Linked DNA regions of Oreochromis niloticus. The protein of the gene in region 3 interacts with the protein of the main gene of each other region in a biochemical or structural test. Links are inferred from orthologs where the notes say so. Each region holds a gene or a part of one and is shown on either strand. Other genes may lie near its edges. The genes, in order: dcun1d4, dcun1d5 and ube2m.

Region 1 (7,369 bases), on a different chromosome or scaffold from region 3:
GAATGCTGTGCATCTTGCAGAAAAAAAAAAAAAAAAGACTGCTCCACTCACCCGAGCAAAATCAAAGGCATATCTATAAATGAGCTTAAAGCTGGTGCTGTCATTTAGGACAGATCTCAGGTAGTCGAGTGAGTTTCTCAGCCTCTCAGTCGAATCACACCTGAAGGCAGCAGAAAACTTGCTTAGGTATGTTACAGGATCCAGTTTAATGCATGTTACACTAAAAATACACATCAATCTAAATAAGCAATCTTGAAAACTGTATTATATTTTAAAAAAATTTTTATAACCCCCCCCCCCCCAAAAAAAACAACAAAGTAAGTAAATGACATACTGCAATGAGCCCATGCCTCTCAGCCACTCCTGAAGGGTGAAATATCCCATACTCTGGGCATCCAGCTTCCAAGCAAGAACCAGCATCACCACCTGAGCACAAGCAACGAATGACAGTTGCAGATATTCTTAAGTACAAGATACTCAATCCATTACATATCACATGACCTTGAAGGCCTAGGACTGCTGATTGAGAGTGCAGATTAAAAGATACACTTTTACAAAGTATCAGAAATGATCAGAAATGCAAATTGTCACCACTGCCAAAAGCATGTCATAAAAAACCAAAAATCACTAGTTTAACGTGTGGTCACAGAGAGATAAACAGATGTCGAAATATGAAAGATTTTAAATATGCGCTTACATTCTCCGGCTCCACTCCGATGTCCTCACAGAATTTTTCCATGCCCTCTGGACCCACCACATCATCACAGCCTGTTTATGATAAACAAATGTCAATCCACATATAGCAACAATTTCCCACGTATGCACTGAGAAGAGGTCAAATGCAATTAAACTAAGAATGTGTCCAGTAAGTGCTCACCTGCATATTCATAGAACCACTCCAAGCATCTTTTACTAGAAAACGTCTCCTCCTCTCGGATTTGGGATGTTTCATGTTTTCTGAAAACGCTGTAGACGAAAAACAAAATTTTAACCATACTACATGTGTAGTACACCATTTATTGTATGTTAACTAATGGCAAAATAAACATTGTACTGCACACATTCAAGTTCACTGAATGTTTAATTAAAGGGATCTCGCACCTGTCCTGGCGACTTTTCTTGGCTGACATGTCATCTCCAGCAGAGGGTCTCCTCTTTTTCCTAGGAGGCATGGCTTTAGAGCAACAAGCTAGGGAAGTAAACAGAAGAAAATGAAAGCATAAATCTTTAAGAACGACATGCATTACGCCAACTTTCTATAGCAAAACATTTGAGTACTAGCAAAGCACTGAGAGTCCACTTCAGAAAGTGATATGTTAATGTACATCTGGCCTGATAAAAACACTATTTCCCTATAAAAAAAACCAAAAAACAAAACATAAAAAAGGAGCAGCTGTATAGTTACCTGAGGGATGGCTGTCCTGTCCAACGTCTTCTGCCAAGTTCTATTCAAAACAAATGTGTGTGAGTAGGACACAGATGTACAGGGCACATGCATGCTAAAATAAAGCACACATAAACACATTGCTAATATGCATTTACCAGCCTGTGCAAGGTGTGGTGGATCTTATGGATGCTGGCCAGTGTAGTCAAGTGGGAATTCAGCTGAAAATCTATTTCCAAAAAATAAATATAACGTCACAAAAGAACTAAACTAAAGCATGACACTCAGCTTTATGCTCCTGATCATGCTTGGCATGAGCACAAGGGTACAAGAAGGTGACATCATCACAGCCCCAATGAGAACACTGGACTCAAATCTCAGGTGATCTGTGATCAGGAATCACACAACATTCACAGAGCATGCACTACTATCGTTTGATTTCCAGTTTTCAAAGATCTACGTTGGTGAAAATATTTCACACGAATGAGGGAGGGACTCTGCATTCCTCTAAAGACGTGAGAACGATCATGCATGCTACCTTCTCGCGTCAAGCCTTCTGTGCACTGTCGATTAAAAGCTGTCACCAAACACCGATGATTTTAACATTTTTTCAGAGGCCAAAACCACACACAAACCAGTACACTGCCGAGCAGATAGCACTAGCTGCATACCTAAAATAGCAGTGCAGACGCGCAACTTGCACAGAGTTTACAAAGTATCTGGAGAGTTTGGACGTATGGGCGTTGTAGTCCATTTCCTCTAAACAGGCCATTGGAAGCTAAGCTCTGTTTGGGATACTAAACTACAATTCCCATGCATTTGCAAAACAACTACTTCTCTCAGACCCTTCTACCCCCAACATTTACACCAACTGATTGAATGCATTTTACGTTGTTTGAAAAATATACAACATTATATGTGTTCTTGCACAAAAGCAACGCGCAGGCGTTTGCAGCAGCTGGTGTAGATGGCGCAAAACCCGGCGGCAGTGCTGCAGCAGGCAATGAAAGCTGTTTTACACAACTGCGTCACAATTTTCATTCCCTGTAAGAGTCCGCAGCTGACCAGAATATTGACCGATTTCCAATGGTCCTACGTGGATGCCAAATGTGAGCTGATACCTGCTGTACGTGACCCATAAAGATGAATATAAACAGCTCAACACGCCGTTTAACCATCGAAAACCTTCTGAATTTAACTAACGTCAGCCGCATTCAGCCGAGCACCGCTAACGCGACTCGAAAAATTAACTTCGCAAAACCTTCAGTGTCAAATATAACCTTCCGCATGTCCAAACAGCTAAAATTACACCAGCTATCCTCCCTTTGTTGTCGCACAAGACAGCACTAGCAAATACAAAGAGGGCTGCAAATAGCACAGAATTCACGCGTCCTCATCAAACGCCACACGACCATGAGACAAAACTGTTGTTCAAAACAGAGCAAGACTATTAACGTCTGTGCCACACGCGCTATGGGGTCCCAAATGGTCCCAGAAAAACCTCTCTAACGTTACTACTTACTTGCCGCATCAGAGTGCATTTTTATGAAACATACAACTGTCTGTGGGAAGTCCGCAGACCGGCCAATAGGCGGGCCTTGTCAACGTAAGCCACGCCCGCAGCTGTGGATTGAAGGTCAGCCTCATTCGCCTCCGCCTTTGTTCGCTGTCAATTGGCTAGTCGAGGTGTCATGTCATGACAGGGAGGGAAAAGACACAAGCTCCTTCCTCAACAAAATGTGATTGGTCATAGTTCTCAAAACAGGCCGCGCTATTCGCACGTCAATCACTAGAATTTCCTCGTGCAAACCTGAAACCAGCCCACGATGAAATCTGATTGGTAGATTTACTTCTAAATTGACTTCCCAGTGTAATCGCGGTTTGGGTTCGCTTAAAGTCAACGCCGTTTGTTGGAAGTAGGTAGCGGTGTATTTGGTAATGTGAGTTTTGACTTTACCAAGGTAAGGACGACAGCGCTTAAATTTCCGGAATGTTTGCAGTGATGCTGTCCTAAATAACACTTACCTTCATTTACCTTACCCTATCAAATTTAGTATTCCCTGTTTGTCATGTGACTCTAAATCTCAGTTTTTGTACAAGACGAACGAATGCAAACGTAGCAACACTGTTGGGCCCAAAGTTGTTTTTTATATATCAGTAACATTAAGGTGTTACTCATATGACTCTGTTTAAATGATTAGCGAAGCAACTATACCCCGTGTGAGTATAGAGAAGCTCGCCAGGTTATTTAAACCACAGCACCCTACTCAATTAAGCCATGATTACATTTATATTATTTTGTACTGGTGGAATTGGGTAAAATGGCCTACTGAGTTGTCCACTGCACAGTCGTGTATGCATTTCCTTTGCCTTCCAGTTACACTCTTTATGCATTGACAGTCCCAGCACCAGTTTACAGTATATGGGCATTTACTAGTGGATTCGAGGTAGGTTACTTTGAATTTGATGTGTGTTTTCATTTTTATACTATTAAACTACATTTTAGAGGAGAATGTAGGCTCCCTTTAAAAAAAAAACAACAACCTAATTAAATTTATTTGGCAAGTACATTTAGAAATTTGTAGGAAATGCATCACATATTAGATATGATGCCTTATGCATTGGCCTGGATCAGTTTTAAATGAATTATTTTTACTCATACGTTATTTTGAATAATTTTATGTATTAGTTCTGTACTAGTGGACAGCTACTATTTTTTTTTCTATAAGTCAGAGCATTTTTTGTAGAATTTGTGCAGTTGCAGTTGTTAGGATATAGAAAATTTAAGCTACTTAATTAATGCTCAGCAGTGACGTTAATAAATAAGTAGTAAAAGAAATGTTTTTGCTTCATGGATAAGTGAGCCTTTGCTCCTTAAGCTGTGACCTGTTGAAAGGTATTTAAGTACAGATGATATATACCATTATTAGAGAAACTGTATCACTGATATCTGCATTTTTATTAGTGGTAGTAAAGAAAACCTTGACCTTTGGCTTACAGGGGTGTGTGTCCAATGAAATAACCAAGAATAGGTGATCTTGTTATGAAGTTTTACTGCATATATTGAATCTTTAGCCTAAACACATGTAGATAATATGTTACCTTTACCCACACTTGTGGGTCTACTAAATAGTGATATGAAAGAGCAAACACGAGGCTGTAGGCAAAAAAGGTGTGTCAAACACTGAAGTGTAAACTGGTATACAGAGGTGAACCTGACCTGTTTTTAACACCTTAGGTGAGGACATATGTCTTTTTATTTCATGTGGCAAATGGGAACACATTTTTTTTTACACTGTTTTGGTGTTTTATGTTAAAGAAGTGAATTCTTTTTCTGCATAGTTTTATATGTTAAGAGTCGATGTTTTTTAGGGGTTTTCTTTGCCTCATGGCTTGTCATCCTCATGCTCAATCAAATCTGACTGGGCAGAGCTCTGTTAGGAAGGCGGAGTTAAAAGTCTAGTCCAGGAACTTCTATTACAGCTTGTTGCATTTGACACAGGCAAGAGGAAGTGTACGTAGCTTCAAAAGCAGCATAGTAGAGCTCCAAACTACTGAAGGATCTAAGATCATGAGTGCTGAAATAAGTGGACAAAAAGTGACGACCGAGGAAGCGGCAGCTGCTGGTTCAGGTTCAGCTCCCATTAAAGGAGGGTGGAAAGTGAGTGGCAAACAAATTTGTACTAGACATTTTGAGCCCAGATGCAATGCTATATGTCACATATGATAACTAACCTCTGTTCTGTGTCTTATAGTGCCCATTGAGTGATGCCCATGTTCACAGAGAAGATGTGAGAAAAGTTTGGAAAGAGTGCCAAGAGGAGAGCTTCTGGTACAGAGGTACTCTCTTTCAGACATTCAGTAAATGCTCTCAAGTGTGTCACAAATTTTCATTAACAAATTGTTGAAATGCCTCCCAGTGAGAGACAAAACTTGGAAATGTTCTTTGATGTGTAAGCAGGGTTTTTGTAGTAGAAGTAGGGGATAGGGGTCATCAATCAAGCTTACCGTTGAGCGTTTACATTCTTCACTGCGGAATTCAGTGTGTGGTCTTAAAAAAAGGGGGCAGATCAGTAAGATGGTAAGTGACTCATTAGTAAGATTTTATACTTTCATCATTCTCTCAGTCGTGATTACAATGTGTTTATTTGATCATGATTATTTATATCTCTACTCAATTTGTATTACTTTTAAAGAAATCATTTAAATACTATAACCACTCTGCCCTGCTTGATCAGAGCTTTTACTTAAGGTTAAGGTTGGGTGAAGCTTGGCTGGGAGTGTCCAGAGGTGAGCTTCTAGATAAAACTAAGGGGAAAAAACACCTGATCTGGAAAAACTAGTAGAAGAAAAAAAACCATAAGAGGTTTAAAGATATATCAGTCATTTATGCACACCCACACATCTTTTATGCGACTGTCAGAAAAGAATTATCACAGCAAAAGCTTAAGAGTTGTATAAGCTACTGTGAGCAGCATGCGCTAAAGAAAATATTGTGGTCAGGCTTTTTTAGACTAAGAATTCCCAAACTGAAGATTATTGGTGTTTCATGTGGCAACACATCGTTGTCTTTAGTCTCCATCTTGGCCCGTCTTCTCACCACTGACCACGCAGCTGCTGCTCATCTTCTCTCGTCAAGCAGTTATGTAAACATGAAAGCAATCACTTCTTCCTGTATCCGTCCTTTCCATCCCATTAGATGGACGTGAGGTTGAGTTCCGGTATATGTCTCATTACTCCAAAGTTGATTTAGGTTGAACTATAGGCAAAAACAGCAAAATGAATCCACTAGAATAAGTTAATTCATATGGGAAATATCGGCATTTAATCACAGACAGAAAAACTTATCTTTATGCATTATGTATTTGTTTTGAATGCTGGCCTTTTAAAATAACTTTACTCTGATTCTATTATAATATTTCCCCATACACTGTCCAGCAGTTTGTGACTTTGATCAGCTTCAGAGCAACTTCTGTTTGACTTGATTTCTGTTTTTAGCGCTTCCATTGTCTCTGGGCAGCATGGCTGTCACCGGTGGCCTCATCTACCAAGGTAAAGCATTAACATTCAAACCCCATACTTTAAATTGCATGATATAGATCAAAGTAAAGCAGATGTTTCTATAGTTATCACTTTTTTCCCTCCACATAGGTATTTGGAAATCATCAAAGCGATTTGGTCCCTTTCCAAAACTAGCAGGTTTGTGTCTTTCAGTATCTTGGATCTCAGTTTGTAAGTGGCAGCAGTGATTAATGAAATAATTTTTCTTCTTCAGTTGCAGGGATCCTTGGATTTGCAGTGGGGAAAGCATCCTATGTGGGCACTTGTCAGAGCAAATTCCAGGAGCTTGGCATTCAGGGTGGACCGGGGATTGGACCCTGGTCAAAGAGAGATCACCCTGGTCACAGACACAGGGAGGGCAGGTGCTGAATTTCTGTTTGTGTAATATTATAATGTTATGGTAATATTTACAGATTCTGGGAAGAGGAGGGTTGATAATCGGAAAAAGACTAACTTTGTGGTTTTTCGTTGTATATTTGATTGTCCATTATTTTTATTTCATTTTACTTTCATTTTATTTTTTTATATTCTCTCAGTAATTGCTCCTCTGTCTTGTTTATTGACCACCAGAGTTACACTGCAAGCATTCAAAAGTCATTCGGAATCAGATTACTTTATTAATTCCAGAGGAAATTGTGTCATTGTGCTGATCCTCCTTTAATAAATGACATAAAAATAATTATTTAAAAATGTTACAAATACTTATTTTTTTTATCAGCCATTGTTATTATTTTTTTCTCCTCTCTTTGGATGATCAATAACCTTACGCCTCAGCATGACACTTACCCAAATATTATCCTCACAGACCCTGCCACCATGTGTGTGAAGAATGTAAGAAAAATGCTCCAGCAGCACCAGCTGAACAGGCTTAATGACTGTGAGGACGGATGTACGGTAACATTCAGTGTGCATCACTGTAAAAAT
Region 2 (7,262 bases), on a different chromosome or scaffold from region 3:
CATATAAGCACTTTTATTCTGTGCTTTCTTAAGCATAGTTTTCATTCATCATCCCATGGATGTGTTGGAGAGTAGCTTGGGGCTGGTATCCTGCCCAAGGATACTTGGTATCTAGACTGGAGCAGCCAGGGAACCAGCAACTTTACAGTTATAAGATGACCTGCTCTACTTCCTGACATAGAAATCTAAATCTTCTAAATTTAGCTCAGGCATTCATGAATCCAGATGATGTTTGTAATCTTCTCACTTGTTCTGAAATTTATAAGTTTTAACTTATAAGCAGAGGTATCTGGAACAACTTCATACCAAGCAGTCAGATGTATTTGTGGCTTCCAGAGGGTTGGGTTACTGTAACTCTGATGTCCTTTCTATTCAGCCCCTCACAGAAAATTGTACAAATCCTTTTTGGTCTTTGTGGGGTTTTTTGTCCTGTTAATTTTTGACATCAGCTTTATTTGTTAATGTTTGGAAAGTTTGCTGTTATAGTACCAACAACAGAAGAGCTCAGTCTGACTCACTCCTTGCTTACTTGACAACTTTGGGTTTGAATTCAAAGAAAGTTAAGGCATCCTTCCCTGTGTGGCCACACTTTGAGAAATTTAGAATTCGTTTTCTAATCACTTTAATGTTTTTTGTTTAATATGTCACTTATGTAGAAGTGAACACCTCCAGGTTAACTGAATTTCCATCCGCTTCAGCTGTGCTTTGTGTTAAGTGCTAGTTTTCAACTATTACCATGTAAACAGACTGAACTCAGAGGGTAAGCATACCTGTTGCCTGTCAGAATACGGGCTGAAGCCGAGCCTCACACATTTGAATTGTTTATACAGGCTGACAAACTTGAATTTCTTCAGAGGTTTTTCAGTTTCACTGCATCATTTCACAAGCTGTCAGTCTTCAATAAAGGGACCCTTTTATGCTTCTCACTGTATGTCATATATGTGTACTGTTAGAAGCTATTTTACTGGCTAAAATGACAGAGTAGTGTCATTTATGACCCCATTATTTAGCTTAAGGTTACTCTCCTGATCTTTTAGGAGACTATAAACTTTGCATCAGTACCAGATATTACAATAGAAACTCATGAAATGGACAGACTTGTTTTAAATGGCTCTGTCTGTGTTTATCGTACCTATACTGTTTCCTTATCTATGACGTATTCTAAGATATGTCTTAGAACTGAAGAAGCTTCTCTGAGGAGAGGTGGAACATCTTCAAGAAACTTAAAGAAATCCAGTTGCTTTTCTTTTGAAGCTCCTTAGAGTGCCATGACCTGGATGACTGGGAACCTACACAGACATTCTAAAATATTCTTAGTCATTTGTTTATTCATTAGTTTTCGATCATTTTTGTGCAAAAAGGAGTCGGCTGGACTCATTACTACATCAGCTGAGCTGTCAGTTTGGGCATTAAATGTCTGTCTCAGGGCTTCTGCAGCAGTAAATCTTTGCATTATAGCTGTGTTAGCCGTGGTTCACTACAAAACATCACAATGATTCATTCCCACTTTCAAGCACAAACGGGGATTAGAAATGGGAATTTACCCGTAATGTCTAAAAACATTAATATATTTCCTCACAACTTTCCATGATCTTTACCACACACATGGGCAAATTATATTACAGAAAACTATGAAAGGTTTTCAAAGAAGGAAACTGACAAATTGTTGGGGAAACATTTTTAAGATTTAAAAAAAACACAGCAGTAAATATAAGTATTTAGCTGAAGTCATAAATGACTCCACTCAGTCGCTTGAGTATGGCCAGAGTTCCAAATAATGGAAGAGTGTGTCTTCCACACTCTGTCTAAATGAGTGTGTCTAAATGTGCTCAGTTTCACACGTTTTTTCCCTACTTTTGGACCTATGATGTCAGTGAGAACTAATTGGCACAGAAGCCCTGCCTACTTGTTCAAGCGGCCAATCAGAAAAAACTGGATGAAAGCAGATTGTTTCAGAGTATGAATTGAAAGACTGAACGAAAATCCAGCGTTAGCTAAATAAGAATGATTTCGATCTTCGAGTCATGCAAAGCTACTCTATCAGAACCCAATCATCAAAATATGGAAATAAGCATAAGTGGACGCCTTTAAACTTCCGTAACTTCCTAAGCTAAAAATCTGTTCAGACTGTGAAATTTAAATAAAGAGAATCCCATCATTTGCAACAGTTTGTACCTTTATTTAAACAAAAACAATACAAAGACAAAATATCAAAGTGTTTTTAATAAAAACCTTAAATTTTATTTCAGCAACATGTTCCAGAAAAGTCAAACCCAACTGCAGAAACATCCCACAGCTCGTTAAATGTATTAATGACATGATTCCTAAAGAAAATGAGGGTTTAATAAGTAAATATGAGGAAGCCTTCACCACTGTGAAAGGCTGTGTGAGCAGAGTTTCAAAGTTTTTCTCAATGTAAAATTTATTTTTCTAACTAAACACTTACAAGGGTGTCACTTCCTGTGTGATCTCATTTTATGCCCCTCCCCCTTTTTAAAGATATATTTTCTGATTTTTGCATTTTACTCTGGTTTGAAACATTTGGATTAACCACAGCTGACATCAAAAGGCTGTGAGTGATTCTTTTCTTTTTCTTTTGGTTGTCTCATGTGAAAGCCCGGCCTGCACTGCACAGAAGTCAGATTTTACTGTAGCCTTGTGTGATGACAACACTTGAACTAAACACAATCAGCCACAGCCTGAAAACCAGCTGAATGTTTGCTATGACATCAAGGAAGGACTTTAAAAGTGTGTATTGGCAATAAAAGAAAAAAAAATGGATGAGAGTGCTTCTTTGTTTGTTTTTGCTTGTTTTAAATATTTTTTAAAGTTGAATAATTTATTTACTGGCAAAATAAAGACAAATGTTCGACAACAGCATTCAGTTTTCCTCCTACTTCCAGTTGCTGTAAAATGTAACAAGTTGGATGCATTTAAATTTATCAAGAAGATAAATCCCAAGAACTTGATGTAGTTTGCAGACTTATTCTGCAGTTAAATTTACTGAATTTCCCGGAGGAACCCACCCGAGGGATAAATAAAGTTTCATCTAATCTAATCTTACTTCATATTACCTTAATTAAGAAAATGGTAAATACACAAATACAATGTCACTGTGAATGACCTAGATTTTTTTTTTTATTTAAGTTTTTCTTTTAAAGAAATCTATGAGAATTTGTGCTGAATATTTACATTTTAAGAGATGGTGTATGGGCCACAATCATGTGCTGCATACACCGCACAGTTACAGGAACACTGGGTTTATTAATGTTCCAACAGCCCTCAGTATAAACATTAACTCTGAGTTAATAAACACTACACAAGTCTCAGGTCAAATGTTCTTTTGCTTACTAAACCTTTAAAAACAAAGACTAGAGAGCAGCAAAGTGTCATATAATGACACCTGTTATATGCATATGTTTCTACTAAACTATATTTTGCATGTAGATTATACTTTTTATCCATAACATTTATTTTTAAACTTGTTATTTTGCAGATAAATTGTGTTATTAAAGGTCAAGCTCTCACTGCAGGATCATCCCTGGATCATCTGCCTCTATCCCGTCCATCCTGCTCACTCCGAACAAACATCATAACATCCTAAACTTCTCTGTCTTTGGCCTCATGTCCTGTCTCCTGCCACTGTCTCCAAACCATACATCACAGCAGGTTATGGAGGGCTTCTCTTTTACTCTTGCTATCACTACCTTTCTGTCATAAATCACATCACCCCTGACACCCGTCTACACCCAGTGCACCTAGCCAGCACCTCCTCTCCACCTCAATGTTTCGTTTTAGTTAACTAGGATAACCTTGCTTGTCGTTAACTCAGAGTGATGGACGAGTTTTTGAACTATGAACAGCTAAAAATAAATAAAAAGTTCAGAGGAAACTCTATGTTAGAAAAATAGCTGACAGAGATTTTACAGTTTAGCATAAATGTTAAAAATATTTTAAACTTTATTACACCCTGCCTCTCGCCCTATGACAGCTGGGATGAATGGATGGATGGATGCATGGACATGAGTATATGTGAGCATGTGAGCCAAAAATAGGGGGACTATTTCTTTAAGAACTAAAACGATATATTCGGCTCTTCGGGGTGTACATTACAACCATCAGATGTTCTCGTTTGGATAACTGTTGTCTAAGTCCATATATCCCTCTTGTAAATGAGGTTAAATGTCATGTTGTATAAACCTCCATTCTTAAAAAAGAGCGTTCGCTCACATTTCTCTGAAGAGGGGAACGCTTGTTTTGTGTTGCACCCCCATAAAGCGGTGGTATCGTCCACTCTCACGGAAACGCCGGCTCCAGCCAAAACTCCGGCAAAAGAGAAGCAGGTGGAACTGAGACAGTAGTGAGAGTGTGACTGAAAGTGGTAAGTGTTTAAAACAGTGCCCTATCGATTACCAGGTGTTGCCCCAGGCACCTGTCTTATATTTGCTTCTAATTATGATGCGAGTGATTTAAAGACTTTTGACGCGTGTTTGGACACATTAGCAGACGTTAGCAGAGCAGCTCTGAAACCCGCGGTGCGCCACTAATGTTAGCTAGCAAACAAAAGAGGTTCACTGTGAGTCAAGACTGACTCTTGGAAGAAAATGAAGGAGATAAATGTGGATTTTGTAATACGAGTCATGTTTTTGTGACATTTAAGTAGCGATAAAATACGACATCCTGGCACGAAGTCTGCTATTAATCATCCTAGCCTGGGTAGCTAACGTTAGCATCAACGGCAGAGACCCGCAGCCGTTTGGATTTTAGCCCAAAGTTTAAAGTTTAACAGTGTCCAGACCCTTAACAGACTTTTTATTCAATATGTACCTGTGTCTTGTGCTTTAGGTGTGTGTGGTGGAGGAATGGTGACATAATCCTGACGTGTGTGTTTCCCACAGAGCTTTTTAAACTGGTTCTGCAGCAGTGCTGTCGTTACCATGTTTATTTTTAACAGTTCAAACGCTGGAAAAAGTTCGCGTTTAATGTCGCAGACACTGCAGCTGCGCGACAGTTACGTTTGGTGGTTTTTGTTGAAATGCAAACGCGACAGCGCCTGTTTTCTTCCGAGCAGTGTCCTCGTTCTTCTGGTGAGCTTTTATATCAAGTCTGAACACGAAAACGGAAATTTAGTGTGATGAGGCAGTCCCTGTTTGCTCCTTCCTTTTAACCAGCTATGCAGGCCGAACCGAACAAAAACAGTGTTTACGAACTGGGCCATTTCAATCTCCAACAATGGCGTCACCATTCATTTTAACAGTACTCAAGTGAATTTTGTGCATTTATGAATCGTACTTGTGACAGTTGCTGCGATGCCACACTCTGCCTCTCCACACATCATCTCCAGGAATCACTTGAATGATCCTAATGGCGAGTAAAGTCACAGAATTCATTGTTGTGTATGTGTCTGGGATATGTCTGCATATGATCATAACTTCCACTGGGTCCTATACTTAAAGGCTGTGGTTCCCCAGTGCTGCCCTGAGGCAAGTCAAGGTGTCCCCTGAGATTTTTGAATCAACGAAACATTGTAACGGCACAAAGTACTAAATGTCATTTCAGTTGACCTCATTGGCCTGATTGATAGTGAGGAGATATAATTGAGCAGCTGGACTTGTGATGTCAGCAGCCTTCAGCCTGAGTTAATCTGTTAATGCTAATATAGTGAGCTAAAGAGGGCCTTGGAAACTAAACATCCTTTTATAGAGAGACTTCACCTGCTTTAAAAGGGTAAAAGAGAGCTGTGTCTGAACCAGAGGCAGCAGGAATCTACACTACATAAACAAAAGTTCTAGGCTGCCCACATATTACACCCACAGGAGCTGCTCTGCCGTAGAAACCCATGCCATGAAGCTCCCAGTGCACAGTTTACATGCTGATCTTAATGTCAGAGGAGGTTTTCAGGTCTGCAGTTACTGAGTCAGCAGAACATATGTGCTTTACATCTCAGCACGCAGCGATCACACTCTGTAACTTTACATGATCTGCCACTTCGTGGATGAGTTATTGATTCCTGAACACGTCCACTTTACAATAATACAGCTGACTGCGGAATATCTAAAAGGGAAGAAATTTCACCCGCTGACCTGTTGCAATAGTGGCATCCTGTTTCAGTAATACACTCAATTTCTTTTAATTCTTTAGAACGACCCATTCTTTCACAAGTCATTCTAAAGGCTGACTGCATGGCTGGGTGCTTGATTTTATACACCTGTGGCTATGGAACTAAAAACACCTGAATTCAAAGACTAAGAGGTGTGGCCCCATATTTTTGACCATATGTATGTGTTTTTGTGTGATAAGAGGATGGATGCAAGTCATAATTTGGTGGTGTTCATTGTATTTCTTAAAATCAGCTAACATTGCAATCAAAAGAAGGGATGATATTTGAAAAGAGAGAGTATGACATGACATTCTGCACATATGAAGACAGCCGAGTCTTAATTTTTGGTTTGCTGTTTGTTTTGCTTTGGGACAAAGGCTTAAAAATCACAGCTCTAAAGGCAGAAATCGGTTCTTTCCTTGAGTTTCTCAACATTCAGTTGACTGTAAGCCCAGCAGTGTAACTGCAATGAAACTTCAATTAACAACGACGCACAGATATGATCAGAATGCCTTGGCTTTGGAAATCTGCTGATACAAAGTACTCCCTTGATGCCAGTGTTAAATAAATTTTCTTCAATCTTCATTTAAATCTTGAAGTAGTGCTTTTTTTGGTTTGTTTGTTTTTCAAAAACAACTTTGTCTAGTGTTGTTATTTTTGATAATTTCATAAATATCTTGAAAATGACTCAAATTCGTATTAGCAGAATGAGAGAACACCACACAAATCCAAATATTTTAGAGACTTCAAGCATTTATCATTCTGAATTAACCTGAGCTGCACTCCTGATACTTCACATTCATAAGATAAGATGAGATGACCTTTATTAGTCCCACAGGTGGGAAATGTGTTTTGTTACAGCAAAAGTGCAAAGTTATGTAGCAGAAATTAGAAAACACTGGAATGCAATAAAATAGAATAATATATACAACATATATACATAGTCACAGTATCAGATATTTACCCTAAAACACAGGGGGTTTTAGAACAGGTTTTTTTGATAATGGAATTTTAAAATGTTAGAAAATCGTGTAAAAGCAGCCTTAGCTTCACTTAACAAACTGAAATGGTATGATGTGTTTGTCTTGGACCGTGACTTCATCGAAAAGAGTAACGACAGCACTAAACTGTTATTTTTGCCTTTTCTAACTAGAAATTATTA
Region 3 (7,582 bases):
CTTCCTGTAAATCATCAGTGACGAGCCTCCTCTCCTGACCCCCACCGGCGTTCCTACCGGCCTGCAGCCGCCACCGCAGGAAGTCTGCAGGCAGGCCAGCAGGAAGACCAGGTGGACTCGGGAGACCTGCAGGACCGTGGAACGTCACACGAGTCTGTCAGCGATTAAGAGAGGAATCCACCTGCTAGTCCTTTATGGGCTAACCTGCAGAAACCTCAGGACTTTCACTTCTTACAGCTCAACCATGAGGACATCTAAACACTGAGTGAAAGGCGGCACCTGATTTATAACACCAGAGAAAACAAGAGCCTCGTGGAGAAAATGGAAGAAAAAAGTGATTTTATCATCATTGGAAGCCAAATTTATAAATAAAGTGATGATTAACTAATGGAGCTACATTAGTGAGCCTCTTATTGATGTTCTCAGGGCGCTGTGGGCCGGACTTTACACAGGTGAGACCTGTTGGAAGACCAGTGGAGGCTGCTGAGGGTCAGACTGTTTCAGGATTATTTCAGGTTAAAGAGCTCAGAGGGAAGTGGAGACGAGGGTGGAGCAGAAAGAGAGACGGCTGTTTCTCACCTTAAAGCTGAAGACAAACTTTCCTCCTTTGTAAAAACCCTGAGACACAAAAAGACAAACAGAGGCAGACTCGTTAGCTCAGCATCATCTTCATCTCCCGATTCAGCCCCTCATCCTCACTCTGTACATCCTGAGGTTTCATACACCTGTGTGCCACATGAGTGGGAACAATCGGCTCTGGTGTAGCAGCGTCTGAAACCGGACCTGCGCTCACAGGTGGAGGTGTTTCACTGCTTTTACAGACAGCACTGCTCGTGTTACTGATGCATACCTGCATCTCTCACAGGTGTTTGTCCTCAAAGTCAGAGAGGAATAAAGTTTTTATGCAATCACGTCTCTGAATGAAAACACACACACACACCTCGTCTGGTGAAATGATGAGTCTGAAGTTGAGGAGGTCGTCATCATCGGGGAAATTGATCTCACACGTCTTTGGTAAGTTCAACTCATTGATGTCTGAAAAACAAACACAGGCAGGTGTTACTGATTCTGATTCGTCCTCGGGAATCAAAGACCTCCTTCATCTCTTCTTCTTTCACTTTTCAGAGGCTCACGAAAACATCTGGAGCTCTAAATACCTTGTCTGTATGCTAGGACCTGTGAAAAAGCAGTGCTGACACAAGAGACTCTGAACTGTCCCAAAAGACTTAAAAGTCCAGAACAACATCTGTAACACTTTCAGATAGAACTGGGACCTTCTCCAAGACCTCCTTCAGCATTTCTCCATTTCACCTTGGCATTTAATGACTTCTAAAACCTCTGGACCTCTTTAAATATTCTTAAAAATCTCCACATATTGTGTTCTTTAGGACTTCAAAAATGTCATCATCTCCAAAATCTCAATAACCTCCAGAAAAGAACACAAACCTCCTTAATCAACTTAGATGAGCATCAATGAGAAATAACGGCCTAGACCCACGAGGTAAAGAAATAAAAGGACCATTATGAAACAAATCTAATCAACTTTTATGTGTCAAAACTTTTTTGCCAATGTGGAAGAACAACTTCCAAATGTAAAAAACAAAAACATGTTCTCGCAGGTTTAGGGGGTGACTCTGAAACCACTGGATCCCTTTTTGTTGTTTAAGGCACCAAAACATCTGGACCATATTCAGAACTGCACTGATCCCGTGTGGTGGGACAGAGCGGGCCCAGGTGGTCGCTCAGGTCTCAGAGAGATGCTAAACACAGGTTGGAACCCAGAACCACGGGCCTACAGATACCCTGAGGACCCCAAATCTCTGCGACCCCATAAATCATTCATCAGGTGGGTGGAGGCAAGAAGAAGAAGAAGTAGGTGGTTGGTGTCCGGGGGCTGGGGCATCAACGCCCAGCCTTTTGGCCTGTGTCACTCCTGCTCCGATTATCCTCCAGATAAGAGACCAAAAGGTGTGAAACCACCGAAAACCGGCCAATCAGATCCATGGAAAACAGCGGGCCCATTCCAGCAGATCACTTAGAAGTTGAGAAGGGATTCAGACCTGTCCAGGTCAGATGCTGCAAAGTAGACAGACAGAGCTGATAATTTAGACAGATCCTGATAAGGTGAGCTGGACTCTGAGAATAGGGACCTGAGCCTGTTTTCCTATTGGTCACCCACACAAGGTGACTCACAAGGCGTCTGACAGGCAGGCAGGACCCTCAGAGTCCACTGTGATCCACCACACAGGTTCAGCCTGGTTCTAACCCTGCAGTCTAAGCCGGGCTCTGATCTGCGTTCACCTGTCGCCCGGCAGCCCTTCGGGTTGACCTGCACCTGAGGAGGATAGCGGGTCAGAAAGGTGGGCGCTGTGCTCAGGTGTTCCAGTGAGTCCCTGTGTTCCTACCTCACCTGCTGTTGAGTAGAAGTGGACCCCACGGAACTGACACAGCAGTTAGAGGCTAGCTGCCGTTAGCCGTCAGTGTTTACGGCTGTCCGGCGTTAGCTGTTAGCTGTTAGCTGTTAGCAGATGTGTTCCGGGTTCGTGTTGTTAGCTGCTAGCTGCTGCTAGCTGCGTGCTAACACCTTTAGCCTGCGTTTTGTTTTCATGTAGCACAGCCGGGCTAGCAGCCGTAGCTAACACCAGCTTCAGCCGCAGTTAGTCGGCCAGCCGTTAGCCCGAGTGAGCTACAGCAACACCGGGTCTGGGTTTGAGAGCCCTGGGTCCCGTGGGTTCGGTGTCGGCCCGTGGCCGGTGGGTAACTCTCGGCTAACAGAGCCTACCTTTCTGTATTCGAAGCTGGGCCGCGCTGGCTTTCTTGCCCCCGGCTCCGGTTCTGTTTCCTCCAGCAGATTCCTCGTCTTTCTTCTGCTGCTTCAGGGAAAAGAGCTTAATCATCTTCAGTTATTTGACACACGAGGCGTCCCTTCTGTGAGCCGTCAGCGGGTCTGAGAGGGTCTGAGAGCGGGGTGGTTTCCCAACAGCACCGTGATGTGAATGGAGCCGGTGCGTCTGATCACGGAGGCAGGAGGAGCTAGCAGCGGAGCTAGCAGCGAGCTGGCTAGCGGGGGGGAGGAGGGAGGGGAGGGGAGCAGAGGGTGTGTGTGTGTGTGTGTGTGTGTGTGTGTGTTGCTCTGAAGCGCATGAAAGTCCACTGGTGCCAGAAGAAAACAATCGGGAGATGGTCTGGGCGCTGCTGGAGAGAGTGAGGGGGCCACAGGCAGGTAAACCCAGCTTTAAAAACTCTGGGTTCAACAAAAGTGATGAAAAGCACCTGAACATGAGTTTGAAGGTGTTTGTGATGAACAGCTGTCTCCTCAGTGAGGGAGGAGAGCGTGCTCAGCACCTCCGGCCTCTGTGCTGCTGTTCCAGTTCAGCCCGGTGGAGATGTGGACGTGTAGGCTTCCTGTCTCAGGACAGGTGCTCCATGCAGTTACCCTCTTCCTTCTGAAGCTGTAGGGGTCGTGACCCGAAGCTGAAGCTGTTCAAGGCGGACAGGAATGGAGACGGCACGTGTCCTGAAAGCAGACAAAGTAAAAGCACTCGTTATGCAGAATCACAAGTTATGTTATTGGCTTGTGGTTGCTGATCCATGCATGTGTACATCAGTGTCATGTTGAGGCTGGAGAGCCGAACCAAGCATGCCGAGACAGACTCTGCAGGACGTTCATCTAAAAGTCAACTTCATGTCTCTGAACTGAGAATCAGCCTGAGGTGAGTCAGTGAGGCTCATGCTGGCTGTGCTCACCTTTGCTGCAGTCTGCAGAAATTCAGCCTTGCAAAAATAAAACTAGTTTTTCGTGCAGTCTGCTCGTATTAAATCAGAGTCCCATAACTGTCTGCCTGTAAGTACAGGTGGGGTTGATATGGCAGCACAGGGGAAGGTGGAATTTAAAACATTGACCTTTTGCTGACAGTTTGGATCCAGGTGGATGTGACCAAGAAAGTGCAGGTAGACTAAAAACACTGTAAATAAAAAACAGCAGTGTGATGATTCAGTGTAGTCTGCAGTTATTACAGCGAGGAGTCCCAGCATCTGTGAGTTATGCTTCCAACCCAGACTTCTACAAACTCGGGACCAAATAAACACAGTTGGGTCAGCTTCAGCAAACATCAGCATAAATCCCGTTTTTATGCCAGGAAACGTCCAGCTGGCTGTCACTCAGTCAGAACACCATCAGCAGAGCTCGTCGTCACAGACGTGAACCTTCAGGTTTGAGCTGGAGCTCAGATCACAGATCCACTTTCAACAGAGCCACTGTGCCCTCTGAGGAAATGTTTATAACCGAGTGTCTGAATCCACAGAAGAAGGTCACTCACGGGCTTCATTCTCTTTATAGAACAGTACTCCACACATCACATGACTTTGTTCATACAGCAGACAGTGACCACAGTCAAATGTAAAATTATGGCAGTAAATAATAAAAACAGAAGACATGCACTGGGAAAAAATGACACAGTAAATCAAATCTAATGTAAAGCTGGAACGAAAAATGAAACGTGTTTTATGGAATAAAATATTTATAAGACATACCGGTATTGTGAATAAACCCTGTGGTGAACACAAGAATCAGCGCTGTTGTGTTTCTTTATAAAAATAAAAATCTCGGTTTTTATGAGCTGTAAAATTATTCACCAGCATGTTTTAGTTGTTGATTGATTTCATTTTTATTGCACCAACATGTATGTGCATGTGTTTGCTGCATTTTTTAATCTTTTTTACCTTTAATTTCATTTTCTTCTGGATTCTACTGATCTCTATATTCTATTACATTTCAAATGTCTTGTGTGTGCTAAAAAACATTTTAGCTTGACGCTTTTTTGGGGGAAAGCGGGACAACCACAAGTCCCACAATGCCCTCCGCACTGTGACGTGGCACGGAGAGGCGGGGCGTGTATATCGTCTGTGCCTATATTTTATTTAGCGGTTTATTTATTTATTTATTTATTTTATTTTCCGTCTCTGTCCGAGGCTGAAGCAGCGCGCGGGCTCTGCGGTCACCTGCATGATGTCATCAATGCGGGGTTAAACGTCCCGCGAGCCACCGGCCGATTCACGACACTGAACCGAATCACGCGCAGCACCGCAGCCTCGCGCCACACAATAGAGTCGCAGAACAATAGCCGCGCGCGGCGCTGCTTTCCCAGCCTACGGCGGCGAACGGGCCTAGTTCGTGCGGAGGAGTATCACCGGGAACGCGTTGAAAGCGCCGCGCTGCGGCGGGAACGGGCCGTTGTGTGTGTTTTGGAGCCCCTCGGGAGGAAGAGCCGCGGAGCACGCGGAACGCGCTGCGGGGGGGAGAGCGAGGCGGACCGAGTGCAGAGAGAGAGGCGGACGCAGAGGGGAGTGAATGGGCACGACTGCGCCCTCCGCCTCACCGATATCCATCCGTTCTCTATCGACACAGTTAGACCACCGCGGTCCTTCAGGCAGGCCAGCCCGGAGAACCGGAGCCAGCGGCAGCCAGCGGGATGGCACGCGCATGAAGCAGCGGCGGGCGAAGAAACAAGGAAGCGGACGGCTAGCTGCGCTCAGCACGGGCTAACGTGGGCTGATTGTTGGCGGATACCGATTCTAATGAGCGACCCAGGAGCATGCGAGCTGATTCAGAGAGGTGAGCGGGGAAGGGTGCGTGAGGGTCGGGTCTGTTCACCTACACCTGTCCGGCAGCTAGCTGCGGAGCGGGGACAGCGTGAAAGAGGAAGCTGCTGGAGGGGGCGGACGGGCTGCTAGCGTGCTAGCGTGTTAGCACGCCTAACGTTAATGTTTTAGGAGAGGCTGGGGAGGGGAGGGGAGGGGAAGGGAAGGGGGGCTGCCCTCCTACGTGTGATATTAGGTAATTAACGGGGCAGACGGTATGTACAGGTGTGTGGTCGGGGCAGGTATGCCCAGGCTGGCTGTAGGTGACTGTGACGGGATAGCTGCTAGCTGTTAGCGGCTATCTCCAAACGGTGCCAGATGCGCATCTTCATTATTATTGCTGTTAGCTGCAGCCAGCCTCTGTTTCCGTCACATGTTTAATTAGAAAATCGCGTTTCAGGTGATGTTCTAATACAGGTGTTTCTGTGGGCTCGTGCTGGCCTGGAAGGAGGAAGCTGGTGAAAACGATCCTGGGATGTTAGCTAAACACAGGAAGCAGGATTGCTTCACCCTCTCCGTTTTCATGCTTTAATGTCAGGAATAGTATTCCCTTGATTACTGACAGGCACTCTGAGACTACAGCAGCCGCAAGAATACCCAGAAAATACAATAAATATTCTAAGTAACGTGAAAGAAACACACAGTGAAGGTTCAGAGCAGGCTCAGCAGCCTGTTCAACCAAAACACCTGGATTTAAAAACACCTGGATTTGGACCTGATAATTAAGCAGACCCGGTCTCTTAGTGATGTCAGTAGGTCGAGTTCCACCTAACAGGTTTAAATATTAATGTTGACTCTTTAAGCATGTGGCTGCTCTGCAGAGGGCTGCTTGCTGTTTTTGGTTCTTTTACTTTGCATCTTTTTTGGAATAACACTGTGTCCCTGTTGGATTTATGCAACTGTAAACCTGCAAAGATGCACTTTATGGCCTTACACTCTGCCCCTCAAACCCCAGGAAGTTCTTGTCTCACTGGAACAAAATAAACTGTCCGCAGGTGAGCTGCTGTGCACTCACCTTTACCTGATGGGAAAGCAGGTGCAGCAGATTTATATAAAACAGGTTTTGTCGAGTCCTTTCACTGCTCATACCGAGGCCGCTCATAATCAGCTTTGAGGGGGATTCTAGTGTCTGATTAGAGTTGTTGTGAGGAGCGTGTTCTTGGTCTCCCCGCGGTGAACTTTGAACTCTGACTCCAGAAAGTTTTATTGTTTTTACCAACGAACTGAACAGTTTGAAGTCAAGGATGAAGAGAACATAACCTGAGACTGCCAGATGTTTACGGCTTATTTGTAACACACACTCCAGTCCACAGGAAGTGACCTCGGCACAGCTGACACTGCTCCACAAATGCGTGCACCAGACCCTGAACTGATCATCGTTTACACAGAGGAAGCTTTTTGAAAGTAATTATCCGTTAGAGCAAATATGTGTTTTAATGCTCTGCAGCCACTTTTAGTGCGACTGGGTTTATACAATAAAATATCAAATTAATGTCACTGTAACAAAGTGTAAAGCTTAACAGTTGCTTTAAAAATAATAAAGGTACAGAGATCAATCGCGTCTGTCCACACAGTGAAATGTTGTTAACATCAACCACATAAGTGACGATTAATTAATCGAGCAGCGCCGTGAGGCTGCTGCGAACAGCATGTCAGCTGCATGTTGGCGTTTTGGTTTTATTCTTATAAAATGTTTTTTGTGCCACGTGAGAAAAGGAAAAAAAAACCAACAACCAATGGCTCCTTCTGGTTATCGATCAGCTGAACCTGATCAATAGTCAGTATCAGTCAGGAGGAGGAGAGGGAGGCGTGTTCATCAGGTTTAAACTGCGTTAAATTGGCTCCGTAACCTGACGGCCGCCTTCTTACAGAGCGACTGTGATTGGCTGTTGAGGTCTGCCACTTCCCTTCTGGCTGCTTCTGCTGCCATTTTTCGAGTCAG

What was found.
Region 1: the proteins of ube2m (region 3) and dcun1d4 form a complex in vitro, tested with the Homo sapiens proteins (3 studies listed by BioGRID). The link is inferred for Oreochromis niloticus from reciprocal best matches to the Homo sapiens genes UBE2M and DCUN1D4.
Region 2: the proteins of ube2m (region 3) and dcun1d5 form a complex in vitro, tested with the Homo sapiens proteins (3 studies listed by BioGRID). The link is inferred for Oreochromis niloticus from reciprocal best matches to the Homo sapiens genes UBE2M and DCUN1D5.

What each region holds. Positions count from the first base shown.
Region 1 is NC_031986.2:37,250,485-37,257,853, reverse strand, and holds the start of dcun1d4 (DCN1-like protein 4), read right to left. Parts: upstream 3,050-7,369; 5' UTR 2,926-3,049; coding exon 2,907-2,925; intron 2,901-2,906; exon of another isoform or gene 1,923-2,900; intron 1,614-1,922; coding exon 1,543-1,613; intron 1,446-1,542; coding exon 1,406-1,445; intron 1,190-1,405; coding exon 1,102-1,189; intron 967-1,101; coding exon 878-966; intron 769-877; coding exon 698-768; intron 427-697; coding exon 335-426; intron 161-334; coding exon 52-160; intron 1-51. Other genes in the region: ociad2 (OCIA domain-containing protein 2), read left to right, coding at 3,211-3,224, 3,762-3,831, 4,887-5,045, 5,140-5,224, 6,383-6,436, 6,536-6,583, 6,660-6,807, 7,251-7,317. UniProt on the Homo sapiens protein: Contributes to the neddylation of all cullins by transferring NEDD8 from N-terminally acetylated NEDD8-conjugating E2s enzyme to different cullin C-terminal domain-RBX complexes which are necessary for the activation of cullin-RING E3 ubiquitin ligases (CRLs).
Region 2 is NC_031979.2:35,191,973-35,199,234, reverse strand, and holds the start of dcun1d5 (DCN1-like protein 5), read left to right. Parts: upstream 1-4,229; 5' UTR 4,230-4,381; intron 4,382-7,262. UniProt on the Homo sapiens protein: Contributes to the neddylation of all cullins by transferring NEDD8 from N-terminally acetylated NEDD8-conjugating E2s enzyme to different cullin C-terminal domain-RBX complexes which is necessary for the activation of cullin-RING E3 ubiquitin ligases (CRLs).
Region 3 is NC_031969.2:34,663,919-34,671,500, forward strand, and holds the start of ube2m (NEDD8-conjugating enzyme Ubc12), read right to left. Parts: upstream 3,068-7,582; 5' UTR 2,898-3,067; coding exon 2,783-2,897; intron 2,777-2,782; exon of another isoform or gene 2,411-2,776; intron 2,336-2,410; exon of another isoform or gene 1,107-2,335; intron 1,036-1,106; coding exon 941-1,035; intron 619-940; coding exon 580-618; intron 1-579.